Linked DNA regions of Arabidopsis thaliana. The protein of the gene in region 2 interacts with the protein of the main gene of each other region in a pairwise test. Each region holds a gene or a part of one and is shown on either strand. Other genes may lie near its edges.

Region 1 (6,023 bases), on a different chromosome or scaffold from region 2:
TAAGCTTATGGGTTCATCACTCATTGTTCAGGAATTCACCTGAATGCAAAGCAAGGGTATGCGGACATGTTTTATAGCTTTGGAGCTGCTCGACTTGGAATAGTACTCATCTACTGATTTGAAACCGAACGAGACTGTTACATGAAATAAAGAAACAAATGATTTGTAGCTGTATGCCCTTGTCTTCTCAAAGTATCAAGGAGAAGATATAAGTAGATGTTGACAAAGCTAACCTCGGGTTAAGCCATCATCGAAATCCCTAACCGTCTCAGCATTTGCAGCCAAAGGAATGTTAAATTCACCTCCTATGTCTTCAAAAAGAAGAGAATGTCTGCATAAAGATGAATTAGTGATGTGACAATAACTAAATGGCAAGAAGATAAGACGGATGTGGACAACGAACAATTACTTGCTAAATATTCTACGAAGAGATTTCGACAAGGCCTTGTCATAAACATTGTTAAAACCCTTATGGAAATCTTCATCTGCTATAACCAAATCAAAAGGATTGCACAAAGAAACAGCAGCAGTGAGAGGACAGTTATGAGATTCCTGCAACAAACTAAAAAAGATAAGAACTTGGTAATATCTCCTACATAAATTTCCAAACTCATGGGTTAAGAAAATAACTAACCTGACCCAAATAGTTAACAAGAATGTTGCCTCCAAGAGACCATCCAGCAGCATACAAATTGGCTTTTGGGAATTTATCAACAACATGATCAATCACTTCACCAATGTCTCCTAAAAACGAAGCCGAGTAGAACTGCATTAGCAGTATCATAATACTTCAGTAACAAAATGAAGCTAATTGGCACTATTCATCTATCATCACCAGACCATGAAACAGTACAAAAAGGAAGCTACTTTATGAATCTAAGATGAACCAAGAAAGAGCAGAGAAAGATCAAAACCTGAGGAGTGGTCACAGGACTATCTCCACAACCACGGCTATTAAACACAACACAACGCCATTTTTTACTTTGAGCTCTTAACAACATATGTCTAACATACGAATCTTGACTTCCTCCTGTTAAACCTGGCTACACATTTTTTTAAAGTTCTGATTTTTAAACTCAATACAAAATCAAAATCGAATTTTTGAAATGTTGAGTGTTACCAACAAAATGAGGATTGGTGAATCAGGAGGAAAGTGCCTATCTTCGCCGGCGACCCAATCCAAAGCAACAGAGCCGTTGTCTTTAGTTCGGAGACATTCACGGCGGAGTCTAACGAAAGGAACAGAACGAAAGAAAGATGCGTAGATTGTCTCCACGTGGCGGTTAAATCCGATTAGAGGAAACGCATTGTACGGTTTAGCGAGTGAGTCCTTTAACGACGGTAAGAAACGATCACTTCCTCCGCCGATAACTTCGAGAGAGCTGTGGTGAGAGGGACGAGACATTTCTGGATTCGCGGCGGCGAAAACTGAGAAATGACGGCGGAGAGTACGAACTGATGAGATTAACGGCGGCGATGATGTGGCAAAGGCGACTCTCGCCATTTGCTTCACCACGTCGTCGTTTTGGTAACCACAACGAATTTGCCTAACCGAAAAAACAAAGCAACATTTATGTGGTCGGGAAATCTAAACTAATTTGCAATCAAAGCCCTTGAAATATATTATTATAACAAAATCATCCTTACTTACAGCGACTACATTTTTCAACCCTATGCGGCTATGCCCGTAGGAACAATGGGCCTTGGGCTTTTATCCCCACTTTTTGCAACTGTACACTGTGTCTTTCATGTAACCATTACGCGGTGTTGACCAAGAAAAGCCAGAGAGGATTTGATATTTTTACCACTAAATGACTAAATGCAATTTATTAGTAGCTTTTGAACACTTCATCCACGTGAAAGTCTCCCAATTTGGTCATTTCTATGTATTAGTTGTATTAAATAACGAAATCAACTTTATATTTTTTATGGTAAAAATTATGTAAAAGTCAAATTTTCTAATTACAATTTACAAAATTTACACATTGACTAACCAATTTAACCCCTCTACTCAGCTATTGAACTCAACTCCGCCGTGAACTTTCTCCTCCCTTTACCACCACCACCACAACCTCTTCCGCCGCAACCGTTTCTTTTAACTCTTCTAACTCTACACTCACCAACATCTTCATCGTTGTAACTCAAACCTCCTCCACCGCTTTTCGCAAGCGCAGAGCTTGCTTTAACCGCTAAAGCCGCCATTTCATCTGCTCTCAATGGATGATTAAGCCATGTTAATGGTAAAACGAAGTACAATTCTCCTGGTCGAAGATCCTCGCTTCCAGGGACAGCTAAAACGGCGTCGTCGAAATCCATATCGTCGGAGTTACAAACAAAGCTTGTAGGATTCTTTTGAAGAATCTGCCACACTTTCACCGGCGTTGAAAACTCTTGTAATGTTCCGTCTGGTAATATCAGCTTCGCCGTCTCTGTTCTCCGAGATTCACGTGAAGCGCAAGCTCCCATTGTTTTAGTACTTCTTTGTACGTAACTCGTTGAGTTGACTCGTGACTTTTAGAAAGTTTGTAGATAGAGAAAGATAGAGAGAAGATCTCGTCTGTGTGTTTGAAAGAGATACAAACTACTCGTGGGGCTTTATATATATATAGAAGAAAGAAGAAGAAGAATGAGTGAGCCTCGTGATTCGGAAACTTCAAGTAACGTTAGGTTTTTGTCGTCTAGTGTTCATAATCAGACAGGACACAGCTCACGCAATATTATTTGTCTTACTGAAACTACAAATATACCCTCATCATGCAATTTAGAAGGAGTAATTTAGATTGGTTAATGTAAGGGGTAGATTTGGAAAATTGGAGATGAAATCGTGGCGAAGAAGGAGAGAAGAAAGGAAGAAAGTGTCCACGTGCAAACATTAGAGACTTGGGACAAAATCAGAAAGCAGACAAGCTTAGGTGGCCGGAGGTTTAATTTCCGGCGGATGGGGTGCATGAAGCTTGGCTTATGGAGCCTCACGTGAAGGCCAATAAGACTAAGCATGGGTAGGGACCAAACCGGTCTAATGGTCCCATTTAGATTCATTCGGTTGCATGGGTCACCGGTCACCTAACGAGAGATTCGGGTCTTTAAGTCTATATACGTGCATCATTCATTAGTTTTAGTTTAATTTAATTTGGGTATGAACGTGTGCATCAATAATGTGAATTCAACTCGAAATTATTGTGTGTCGATATGGTATTACGGTCCATCAACGCTGTATCGAATTTTTTTTTGTTACATTTTAAATATTTTAAGTAGGATTGATTTGTTGAAGAATATCGCTTTCCGTTGAAGTTTTTTTTTTTAGAATTGTTTTGTAGTATCTAAAGTCGGATACTTGTGTAACAACCAAACCAATATATCAAATCATAAGCTTCAATTATATGAAGTTATGAACCTCTATTATTTCCTACCACTTTATACTTTTTTTTCTCAAAAGAAACCTATTTTAGTTAAACTAACATTAATGTAACGATTAAAGTAGATATAGTATATTCTCTGCTTTTCATATATGTTTGGGATTAGGAACACCCACGTTTCGGCCAAACTTTATTTTTTAGTTTGTGCGTATGATAAATGAAGACAATAACACTGATTTTGTCCGATTTCTGCTGTCCTTTATATATGATCATCAGAAAGAACTAGTCCCAATTGATGAATACAGTACAATAATGTGTGTTCATACTATTATATTTTATGGAACAGAATTTGACTAGCCACTAATTAATTACTAATATGGCGTAAATTATTTAACCTACCATGACACTTTTATTATATAAAAAACAATTATTGACGTTTATAAATATAGACCACGTACGATGGTTCGATCTCTGGAGAGTTAACTGTTGGAACTCAATTTTACATATGTGACTCCGGCCAATTTTCCGGTGACTTTTCCGTTGATGTCCGTCACCGAAATGACCGGATTATGGAGTTTTTGGATTCCTTGTAATGAACACTATAAGATAGTGTAGTTACATATAAAAAATAAAGTTATTATAAATGAGTAATTGAGGTCCAAAGTGGTGAGAAATAAAAGGTCGGTCGGGTTTTTCGATAACAAATTTGCGGATAAGATCATATGAGAAAGTTGTGAGGAAAATTCTCCATAAACAAACTGATGGAGAGGGTTTGTCTCGGAGTACGTCAGCAAGAATGAGCATGCCAAAGCCACTTGGCAGAGAGTATCCTTAAAGAGCATGTTAGCGGAGAAGAACCTCCCAAAACTTTTTTTCTTAATATAGAGTTTCGTCTTTTTTTAAGTATTTTGTTATTAGTATCAAAAGTTGAATATGTGTGTAATATTTTGTAACCAAACACAACATTTTAATTTTGAAACCCTCCAGCTGTTTTTTTTGTCTATATGGTTATAAACGTTGTTGATTTTGAATCGCGAACATTTTTTGAGGTAAAATAAACATGAGATTGGATAATAACAATAATAAGATATAAATTCTTCAGAAAAAGACTAAGGAGATCTTCAGTGTCAATCATACACACGCGTACGAAACCTACTGACTACGATCTCTTGATACTTGATGATCAGTGAATGTTACGATTTGCAGTAACTATATATAAATTGGATAGTATAAAAATTTATTCAAATCATTGTCATTATTGATATGAGATGTTAATTAGTTGAGTGTTTAAGAGGTAATATTCTATTTGCATTCTGTAGTGTTATATATGTGCTGTCCCACGCCAATAGAATTGGATCTTTTTGGTTAAAGACTATAAAATTGTTTATGTTATTACATGTTTCAATAGTTAGTTACTCAATCGCATGGACGACAGTTCATAAAAGAAAATTTTGGAAAATAAAAAACACGATAAATTACAATTATTAATTTCCACGTGAAACGGCATTAAACTATTTCTACTTGTCGCGTTAACCTATTTTAAATTACAGGGTGTTGAAACTTGTTTATATTCGTAAACACACAACAAAAGTACAAAAAATCAATCCAACCATATAATACACATACTCGTCGTTTTCCCATTGATCATCCAAAGGAAATTGATCCGACAATGGAAACATAAATTTGTCAATTTTCGAGTTTTAAACATGTTTGGCCCCCAAAAAGAAGAAGATTTAAACATGCATGTATATAATTTGTTTAACCTTGAATTCATTTTTCATAAAAATTAAATCATCTCTGAAACCTAAAAAAAAAAAAAACATGTATACACACTAGATTTTAACCCGTGGAATAACGCGGGAACAATTTATTTTTTAAAATTAGTATATATAAAAGTTTATAAATTGTATCTATTTATAAAATATTTTTATTTTATAGTTTACAATTGTTATTAAGTAACGTCTTGCTAAACCCGTCCCGTAAAAAAACTCATTTATTTTATTAATGTTGATCTTATTTATGATATGTTAATGAATCATTACCTAAATATTTTGTAACTTTGTAGTAATAAAATGGGGTAAACGACCTGTGTCCCTTTCGGAAGTTTCATATACCATTAGAACTACACAGAATTTCAACCTCGATCTTGGTCCACACAAATAGAAAGTTCTAGTCCTATTTCTCCCTAATTTGAAAGTTCGAAACCTCAAAACACATAAACGCTTGATTAATTGGTTTATAACATAAACCGATATTAAACCACTTAAACCAATCCTAAACCAAATTAAAAACCTGACCCATCTCCTTCTACCCCATTTGACCCGTCTCCTTCTCCGCCATCACCTCCCGATCACAAAACCAACATATACATCTCCATTCCTGGAGTTTCGAAGCTTAAAGGAAGAGAAGCGAGGAAAGGCGATGTATTTGCGGCGGCTCGACAATGGAATCAAAGGACGAGAAGTATCGATAATGGAATTGAAATTCTCCGTATCGTTGTCCATAGAAGAAACTGAAGAATTTTCCTCCATTGTTTTTGGAAAAACATCATTTGTGAACACATTATTTGAAAGAGCATTGCGGATATATGAATTTGGAATTAAGTCAATCTCAAATTTTAGTCTTTGACTGAAACTCTATTTTGCTCTTCTTTTTAAATAAATTTTT
Region 2 (8,264 bases):
GAGGTAGTTGCATCAGAGAAGCAAATTTCAGATCCAGTGGGAGTCATCAAGAAAGCTAGTGAAGCTGAGCATGAAGACCCTGTTGATGATATAAAGAGCAATGATGATAGGGATTTTCCAACAGAACAAGCACCAAAGGATCAGAGCGACGAGGTTAGTGCTGATGAAACTGTCCCTAAAGAAGCAATAGGCGAGGAACTTAAGGTTCCATCCTCAAAAGTACTAGATGATATTCAAGAGAACAGTAACACGGAAGCAGTGACGAACTTTGCTGACCGAGATCTTCCAGTACAGAATCTAAGTGAACTCATTCAGTCTCATCAATCTCCCAATCAGGTGGAAGAAACATCATTTGAATTCAACAAGGCACAAGAAGATAAAAAAGAGGAAACTGTTGATGCTTTGATTACGAACGTGCAAGTGCAAGATCAGCCCAAGGAAGATTTTGAGGCTGCTGCAATAGAGAAAGAGATATCAGAACAAGAACACAAGTTGAATGATCTCACCGATGTCCAAGAAGATATTGGTACATATGTTAAAGTGCAAGTTCCTGATGATGAAATAAAAGGTGATGGCCATGATTCAGTTGCAGCACAAAAGGAAGAAACTAGCTCAATAGAGGAGAAGAGAGAGGTTGAACATGTCAAGGCAGAGATGGAAGATGCAATCAAACATGAAGTTTCCGTAGAAGAGGTAATATTTAAAGCAAAGAAACATAGGTGATTTCGTTAACTTAGATGCTGTGGTTTTACTAATTATCATTTGTTGCTGACCGAAATTTTTAATGTGATATTGGCAACGCAGAAGAACAACACATCTGAAAATATTGATCACGAAGCTGCAAAAGAGATAGAGCAAGAGGAGGGTAAGCAAACAAATATTGTCAAGGAAGAGATCAGAGAAGAAGAGGTATGAACCTGAACATTATTCAGTGTTTCTTTTGTTTTCATACTCGTTTAATATCTAAATCATAGAAACCATGTTTTTGCAGAAGGAAATAAATCAAGAAAGTTTCAACAATGTGAAGGAAACTGATGATGCGATAGACAAAACACAACCCGAAATTCGGGATATTGAAAGCTTGTCTTCCGTCAGCAAAACACAAGACAAACCAGAGGTACAATATACTTTGGTTTGGTATCATTATCCTGCTTTTTCCATAAGTAATGGACACAAATTCTTTCAAAGTCACAAGTCCTGAAAACAAAAGCTTATTTTCATTTTTTGCAGCCAGAATATGAAGTTCCAAACCAACAGAAAAGGGAAATAACCAATGAAGTTCCAAGCCTGGAGAATTCAAAGATTGAAGAAGAACTACAGAAAAAAGATGAAGAATCTGAGAACACCAAAGATTTGTTTTCAGTAGTAAAAGAAACTGAACCAACATTGAAAGAACCGGCAAGGAAATCACTATCTGACCACATCCAAAAAGAGCCTAAAACAGAGGAAGATGAGAATGATGATGAAGATCATGAACATAAAGATGATAAAACAAGTCCAGATTCAATAGTGATGGTTGAAGCTAAAGATACAGTAAGCATTGTCAAGACTCATAAGAAATCTCACGGCATTCTCTCTGGTGTTGGTTCAAAGGTAAAGCATTCAATTTCTAAGGTCAAGAAAGTACTCACTGGCAAATCTTCTCACACAACAAAGCCTTCATCACCTACATAAGTGAAGAAACAAGAAAAACACAATCAGTGTCTATAAAAGGTTTTTTATTGGTTTGTTATTTTTTTTATTGGTTTGTAATATGTGAATATTACAGATTTGTTTGTGGGGTTTTTCACATGTTCAATAAATTGGTTTGGTTATTTGTTTTTACCTGATCATTGGCTAATTCTCTCCGGCACTTTTTATGAACCTTAAACAAATACAATTACATATGTTAGTAATTAAACAAGTTCATAGTTACATTATAGTACAGTAGAGAACAAACGTTTTCTCATGTGTGTTTATCTAATCTAAGTTTGTAATATAAAGCTCTTGCTTAGCAAGAAAATACTTTCCAATAAGATCACCAGATTCAACAACAAACTGTTCTTGAAATCGGCCAACACGTCTACTTGCGACATCGAAGCCAAGATCTTTGAAACTCGGAAGCCCTTCTGCTTGGACTCCATCACCACAGATCAGAAACTGATTTCCAACAATAAACGATCCAACAGCACGAATTATGACTCCACCACTGCCGCAAGGTTTGCAATGAAGCTTCTCAACGACATGAACAAGTTTCTCACTCGGTAAATCTCCTGTTAATGTGTTACGAATGTCTGATAATGCTGAGAAGATTTCAGTTGATCCTGTGTTATGTTTCCCAGAGAAACTGAAAACTGAAGTTTCAGTGTAGAGCGATTTTGCGTGGTGCCAAAGATCATCAAATCCATCAAAGAGGGAGTAATAATGTATGGTGAGCATCTGAACAAAAATCCAATAAGATCATTAATGTTAACTTTAATTTGGTATTTTCGAACTAAGAAAAGTCTGATAAGATCATCATATACTTACATCAGCTAAATCTTTCAATCTCTGAGTTGGATCAAAGATGCTTTGAACAAAAGTCGCCAAATCTACTCTTTCCTTCTCGTGTTTTGTAATAAAAGGGTGTGACAAGAGCTGTTCAAGTAGCAGAGGAAACACCATCAGACTTGAATCAAAGCAAAGCTTTATAGGAATTATCTAATAAATTCAACAGAAAGAATCCAATTCTTAACCAGACTTGTATTAAAACAAATAAATACAAAGAAATGCATCGAACTTCTAACAAACAGACGAATACTAAGAGAAGCACCAAACTTTTAACCACAATTTGCTCTAAAAATGACTTATTTCAGTAAAGTACTAGACTGGTAAATGTATGACATTTCAGTTTTACCAACCTGGTCAGCTGTTGGTCGAGCATCTGGATCCTTCTGGAGGCAAGCATCAATGAAGGAACAGAACTCTGGTGAGAATTCTTGTTTTGGTGGTGTTGGTGAAGGATCATCCAATATCTTCATTCACATAACAGTAATTAGTGTAAATATAAATAATATATCGGAAGAAAGGATTTGGGGACAAGTTGATTAACCTGCAACATAAGATTAACAGGCCCTTCATTAGCTATATACGGAAACTCTCCAGTGCCGCATTCAAAAAGAGCGAGACCAAGGCTCCATATATCAGCTGGATAAGAATAACTGTCATTCCTTATCCTCTCTGGTGACATGTAGGTGACAGTTCCAACAAAAGTAGCACACTTTGCAACCATCATTTTCAGATAATACAAGTTAAAAACTCATCAAAAAAGGATTACTGGATTAATAAGGAGTGAAAGACTGAGATACAATCACTAACCATAGCCATTGAATTCTCAAGGCCAGCACTTATGCCAAAATCGGTTATCTTCGGTTCCCCTTTGAGATTTATAAGCAAATTAGCAGGTTTAATGTCTCTATGAACAAGATGTCTCACTCCATGCAAGTAGCTCAATCCCTTAAAATGAAATCACATCACTAAGAATGAATTTATATACACTTAAAACATAACGCATATATATGTTGCACATTATAGAGAGAGTTAAGTATCTTTACTTGCAAAAGTTTGTGGAACAATGATGAAAGAACCGGCTCAGGTATCTTCTTTGTTACTTTTAAAATATCAGCAAGAGATCCTCCATTCATATATTCAAGAGCTATGCTGATTTGTCCCGAGTCTGGACTATAAAACGCTCCGTGAAAATCCACAAGTCCTTCATGACAAGGAGCTTCACACAATGTCCGTATCTCTGTAAGCAATTGCTGCCTTTTCTCCTGCTCACCAAAATCAGTACATATTCAAAAACACATACTAAATGGAGTCACATTTTTCTCTTTAAACTAGCAAAAGAGATTAACATTACCCTTTCAAAGATATTAATCTTCTTCAACGCTAAAATTCTATGATTAGGGATATGAATAGCTCGTTGAACAACGCTGCTAGCTCCGCTTCCTATAGCTCCAAAAACCCGCATTTCGTGAGAAGCACATTGATACGTCGTCTCGGAACTTTCAGACTCATCCACATGAGAAGATGTACATTTTTGTAACCCGAGCTCGTTAAAATTATAAACTCCATATGATCTACTAAGTAAATTCACAGTCCCACCATCAGATAACTTCACAAACAAACAAAAAGAAGATAAAAGTAAACAAACCAGAAACATAACAAAACTTCTTAACAACGAAAATCACAGGAATCTTACTAAATATGAATCGTTTGGATCCAAAGATGAAGATGAAGAAAAACCCTTCTCAGCATCAAACAATGGAGACAGCTTCTTCTTTAGCTCCTCCAATGCCGCCATGATAACTACTTTTTCTGTAACACAGACAAGAGTCAATGAAAAAACCCCAACCTTTTTCTAAATTCGAAAACTTTCTATTTAGAAGAAACTAATTTAGCTAAAAAAGAAGATTTCTTACTTAACAAAACATGAAAAGTCCCCAAAATTTTCAAGTTTCTATAAATTAATTTCAGTTTTTCTTATAGCCCTTCAATAGAATTGGATTCAAAGTCGTGATTAGTCAATAAAACAGTTATAATTCACAAAACATAACAGTGAACTAATCGTAGAAAATTCAGAATTAAATCAACGGATCAAATTCACAAATTCAAAAAAATCATACAAAACCAAAATGATATAACTCTTAGAATTACAGATAAAAACTTACCTTTGTTACTCTCAAAGTTTGTTGCTTTTTTAATAACCCTTTTCGTTCTTCAAAGGTTTGGTTTTTCTTTTTGGGTGTCTCCTTGAGATGTGGAAGATGAACACCCCTCTCTAATGTTTCTCTCTGAAGAAGCAACTCCGACAATAACCCTGTGTCGTTCTATGTTTTGAAAACTAAATTACGTGCCGTTTTAAAAGTATTAGATAGCACGAAGTTTAGTTTGTAAATTTGAAACGAAGAGTTAATTGTGTTTTCGTGGGCCAATATATATTAAGAAGTGGCCCAACAACTATCTCCTCCAGGCCCATAAGTTTATTTTTTCTCAGTCAGTTCCAGGAATTTACAACCATCTGTATAATGTCCCTAAACCCCAATTTACAATTGAGACACCATCAATGAAACTCAAAAGAAATAATATTGTGGTTTAAAGGCAAGGAAATCAAATGAAACAAGGAAGGATTATAAGTATAGGTTTTTTTTTTTACTTGATTACGTTTGATCCAATTCATGGAAACGTAAAAACTATTTAACAATTAAAGTAACATAATTACATAAACCATCTTTAACATAAAAGTCAGTTTACTACCTCGTACGGTATGTGTTCCAAGTTTGTGTGCATTCCATATGGTCCGAAAGAAATAAACCTAGACGTAGACATGGGGAACAAAACTTGTCTCCTTCACTCATGTCTTCTTTCATTGAGCGTATCGTCCGAACTCTAGAACAGACTTTCAAGTCAAAAGGAAACCACAACCAAATTCGAGGATGTCTTAAGAATTTGGTTTGGTGAAGGCCCTAGTGTTTGTCTTTGGTGCTTGAAGGCCCTACTGTTTGTCTTTGGTGTCTTTTTATTTATAAACGTTCTGAACTTTTAGCATAAGGTTACATTGGCGGAAAAAAGTATAAGGTTACATTTATTATACAAAATATGTTTTAGGATGAATAACATTCATTCAAAAAGAATCAAAGCAAAACATGCCAAATAAAATATTTGATTTTTGTCCACTTTTCATGATGGGCGAAAGTGTGAAACCTGAAACCTGGTTCTTGATGTTCTGGAATCAAATTACTTATGATGTTACTTGTATGTACATTTTTAATTAGACTCATAAAGTGTCAAGTCAACATAAGATATTTTCTTTAAAGTTTTTCATGGATTAAAAAATATTCGTAAATTATATTCAAAACTTAAAATTTACTAATTATATATTTTGTTAGCATATAATCGTTAGTGTCCAAAACTGTTTAAAACTTGTGCAAAGTCTCTTCGGTTCTAATTTGTTTTCAAAATCAGAGATATTTCTCCACCATAGATGAAGGACGAAAATAATACTCATTCTCTCCCATTCATTCAACAGTGAGGCGGAGGTGGTCGTTGCACCATGAAAGGATCTCTGATGATGCACCCAAGAAGGATCAACCGTAGACATATGCATGGAGACGCTGGAGATGTATAGGGTGAGCAAATTTTGATGGATCTAGGCAAAAGTTTGATTTTTCTTAACCCTAGACACGAAGATTCTAAAGAAGTATTCGGTGAACAAACTCTGCCAAATTTGGACAGAAAATAAACTAACAAAGGTGATTCTAGATTAGAAACAAAGTAGACTAGCCTGAAATGCAAACAAAGATAAACCAGAGAAGTATCCAGTTAATTGCACATATGCGCTAGAGGAAAGATTTAGTACCATGAACTGCACACAACAATAATAGATCGCAAGGAGGCAAGTGGAAGACACAAAGATCATTATCCAAACAAGGGTGAATGGAGGAGATGCTGCTAGGTGAGGTGGTAGAAAAGGAAGGACCATAGGTCATAACACCGGAGAAAACTCCCACAAATTGGAACGAATGGTCAACTTGGGGCCTGAGGGGGCGGATCTGGAGGTCTGAGGGGGTAGCTCACACCAAAGTCGTAGAGATCGGACTTCATAGGTAGTGTGGAGACATGAGCAGCTCAAATAGAGACAGCGAAAAGGAGGCTGAAAGCATGAGAGTTAACATCTCAATAGCTACACAAACCATGGAGAAACTAGACTAAACTTCTCGTCGGCGACAAGGACCACTAAAATACGGATCAGCTGGGAAGGATTGGGTGATCGATCCACGAAATGGAGTTGAAGATGTTTAGATAGAGGACCTAACAGAAGAGCACTCATCTTGAACCAACAAGACGGATGCAGCCACATTGGAGAACATGCCTAGAATAATTTGAAATTTAATTTCAGAATTTTTTTTCTTGCTTTTATATAATTATGGTTGAATTATTATTTAGAAGTATTTTATATTATTTTAACCAACACTGAACTGATTTTAGAAAACAAAATGAAACCAAAATGACATTAAATCGAACAAAATCAAATAATCACCAACTTGTATTTAAGTGAACCAAATTATGGATTTGATGACTTCTAAACATAATCTTTTTGTATGTATGGAAAATTGAGATTTTTTGACAAAGTGATATAGTGATATCTTTAGCGGTAAAAACACTAAAGATTAATAGAAAGCGTAGGAATTTAGTATTCTATGGAAAAGTAGAGTAGTTATTAGTTAATTTAATGTTCTTTACTATAATCTTTGTTTTTTAAAGGAATATAAAATATGTTATTTCTGAAAATACGAACGTTACTTTATCAAAATGTTTAACGAGAAATTATACTATTTTAATAATTAAAAAACATAATATGGTTGGCATTTTTTCATAGGAAAAATGTTAAAATAAACGAGTTTTCTATGGATGGTGAATTGAGAACTAGTTGAGTCTAAACAATTGAGTACTTAAATTCAAGTATTAATGGACTCAACCTAAATATATTATTAAAAAACTATCTTCAGTGCTCAAGAAAATAAAATAAATTTTATCTAACAGAAATAAATTCATGACATGTATGACACGTGTTGTAATATGTCAAATTTTCTCTTTTAAACACAAACGCTCTCATAAATCATTATAATTTCATAATTATTTATTACAATTTAAGAATATAAATGTCTATTTTATCCTCAAGTTGATATTGTATAACTCCTCATCTCAAAATCTTAAAATTAGAACAATATCTAAAGTACTATCTTTAATTACATCCAATTATCTAACTAATTATAGTGTGTACTTTTTTGGTTTTTTGGCCCATGGTTTTATATTTAACTCACTTTTATTATCTATAAAACGTGAAAACAATGATTTGTTAAAATTAATGACTTGTAAAAATATTTGACAAGTCAAAGTCTTTGCCACTCAATTTCTACAAAATTCATTAATACATTTGTTACCTTTTAAATAGATTTTTACCTTTTTTGTTTTATTTAATTATTTGAAGTACACTTTTTTATAACCACTCACTTCTTATCGTCTTATCTGAGTATCGTTCTTTCTAAGATTTTCTATAACTTTCCGCCCATCTTTGGGTTTCAATATTTGTTTTACGGATTTCTGCACTCGATCTTTGTACTTCTTAGATTCATATCGAGATTTAATCAGTTTTCCATTTTAGAATCATCATTTCAATTCAAGTTGGTGTTTAAATGGAATTCTCATTGATCTCCGATGAAAATTTCATCTTAAACGATGCT

What was found.
Region 1: the proteins of MKK3 (region 2) and AT3G50800 interact in a two-hybrid assay, tested with the Arabidopsis thaliana proteins (one large-scale study listed by BioGRID).

The regions. Positions count from the first base shown.
Region 1 is NC_003074.8:18,880,437-18,886,459, forward strand, and holds AT3G50800 (uncharacterized protein), read right to left. Parts: upstream 2,598-6,023; 5' UTR 2,467-2,597; coding exon 2,008-2,466; 3' UTR 1,676-2,007; downstream 1-1,675. Other genes in the region: AT3G50790 (esterase/lipase/thioesterase family protein), read right to left, coding at 40-134, 234-331, 410-552, 635-766, 915-1,043, 1,121-1,504.
Region 2 is NC_003076.8:16,178,209-16,186,472, reverse strand, and holds MKK3 (mitogen-activated protein kinase kinase 3), read right to left. Parts: upstream 4,846-8,264; 5' UTR 4,692-4,845; intron 4,339-4,691; 5' UTR 4,325-4,338; coding exon 4,223-4,324; exon of another isoform or gene 4,184-4,222; coding exon of another isoform or gene 4,136-4,183; coding exon 3,881-4,135; intron 3,792-3,880; coding exon 3,573-3,791; intron 3,475-3,572; coding exon 3,337-3,474; intron 3,239-3,336; coding exon 3,071-3,238; intron 3,060-3,070; exon of another isoform or gene 2,994-3,059; coding exon 2,880-2,993; intron 2,617-2,879; coding exon 2,509-2,616; intron 2,419-2,508; coding exon 1,960-2,418; 3' UTR 1,826-1,959; intron 1,824-1,825; downstream 1-1,823. Other genes in the region: AT5G40450 (A-kinase anchor-like protein), read left to right, coding at 1-693, 805-909, 992-1,117, 1,231-1,674. UniProt on the Arabidopsis thaliana protein: MKK3-MPK6 module plays an important role in the jasmonate signal transduction pathway through the negative regulation of MYC2/JIN1 expression. Activates by phosphorylation the downstream MPK6, MPK7 and MPK8.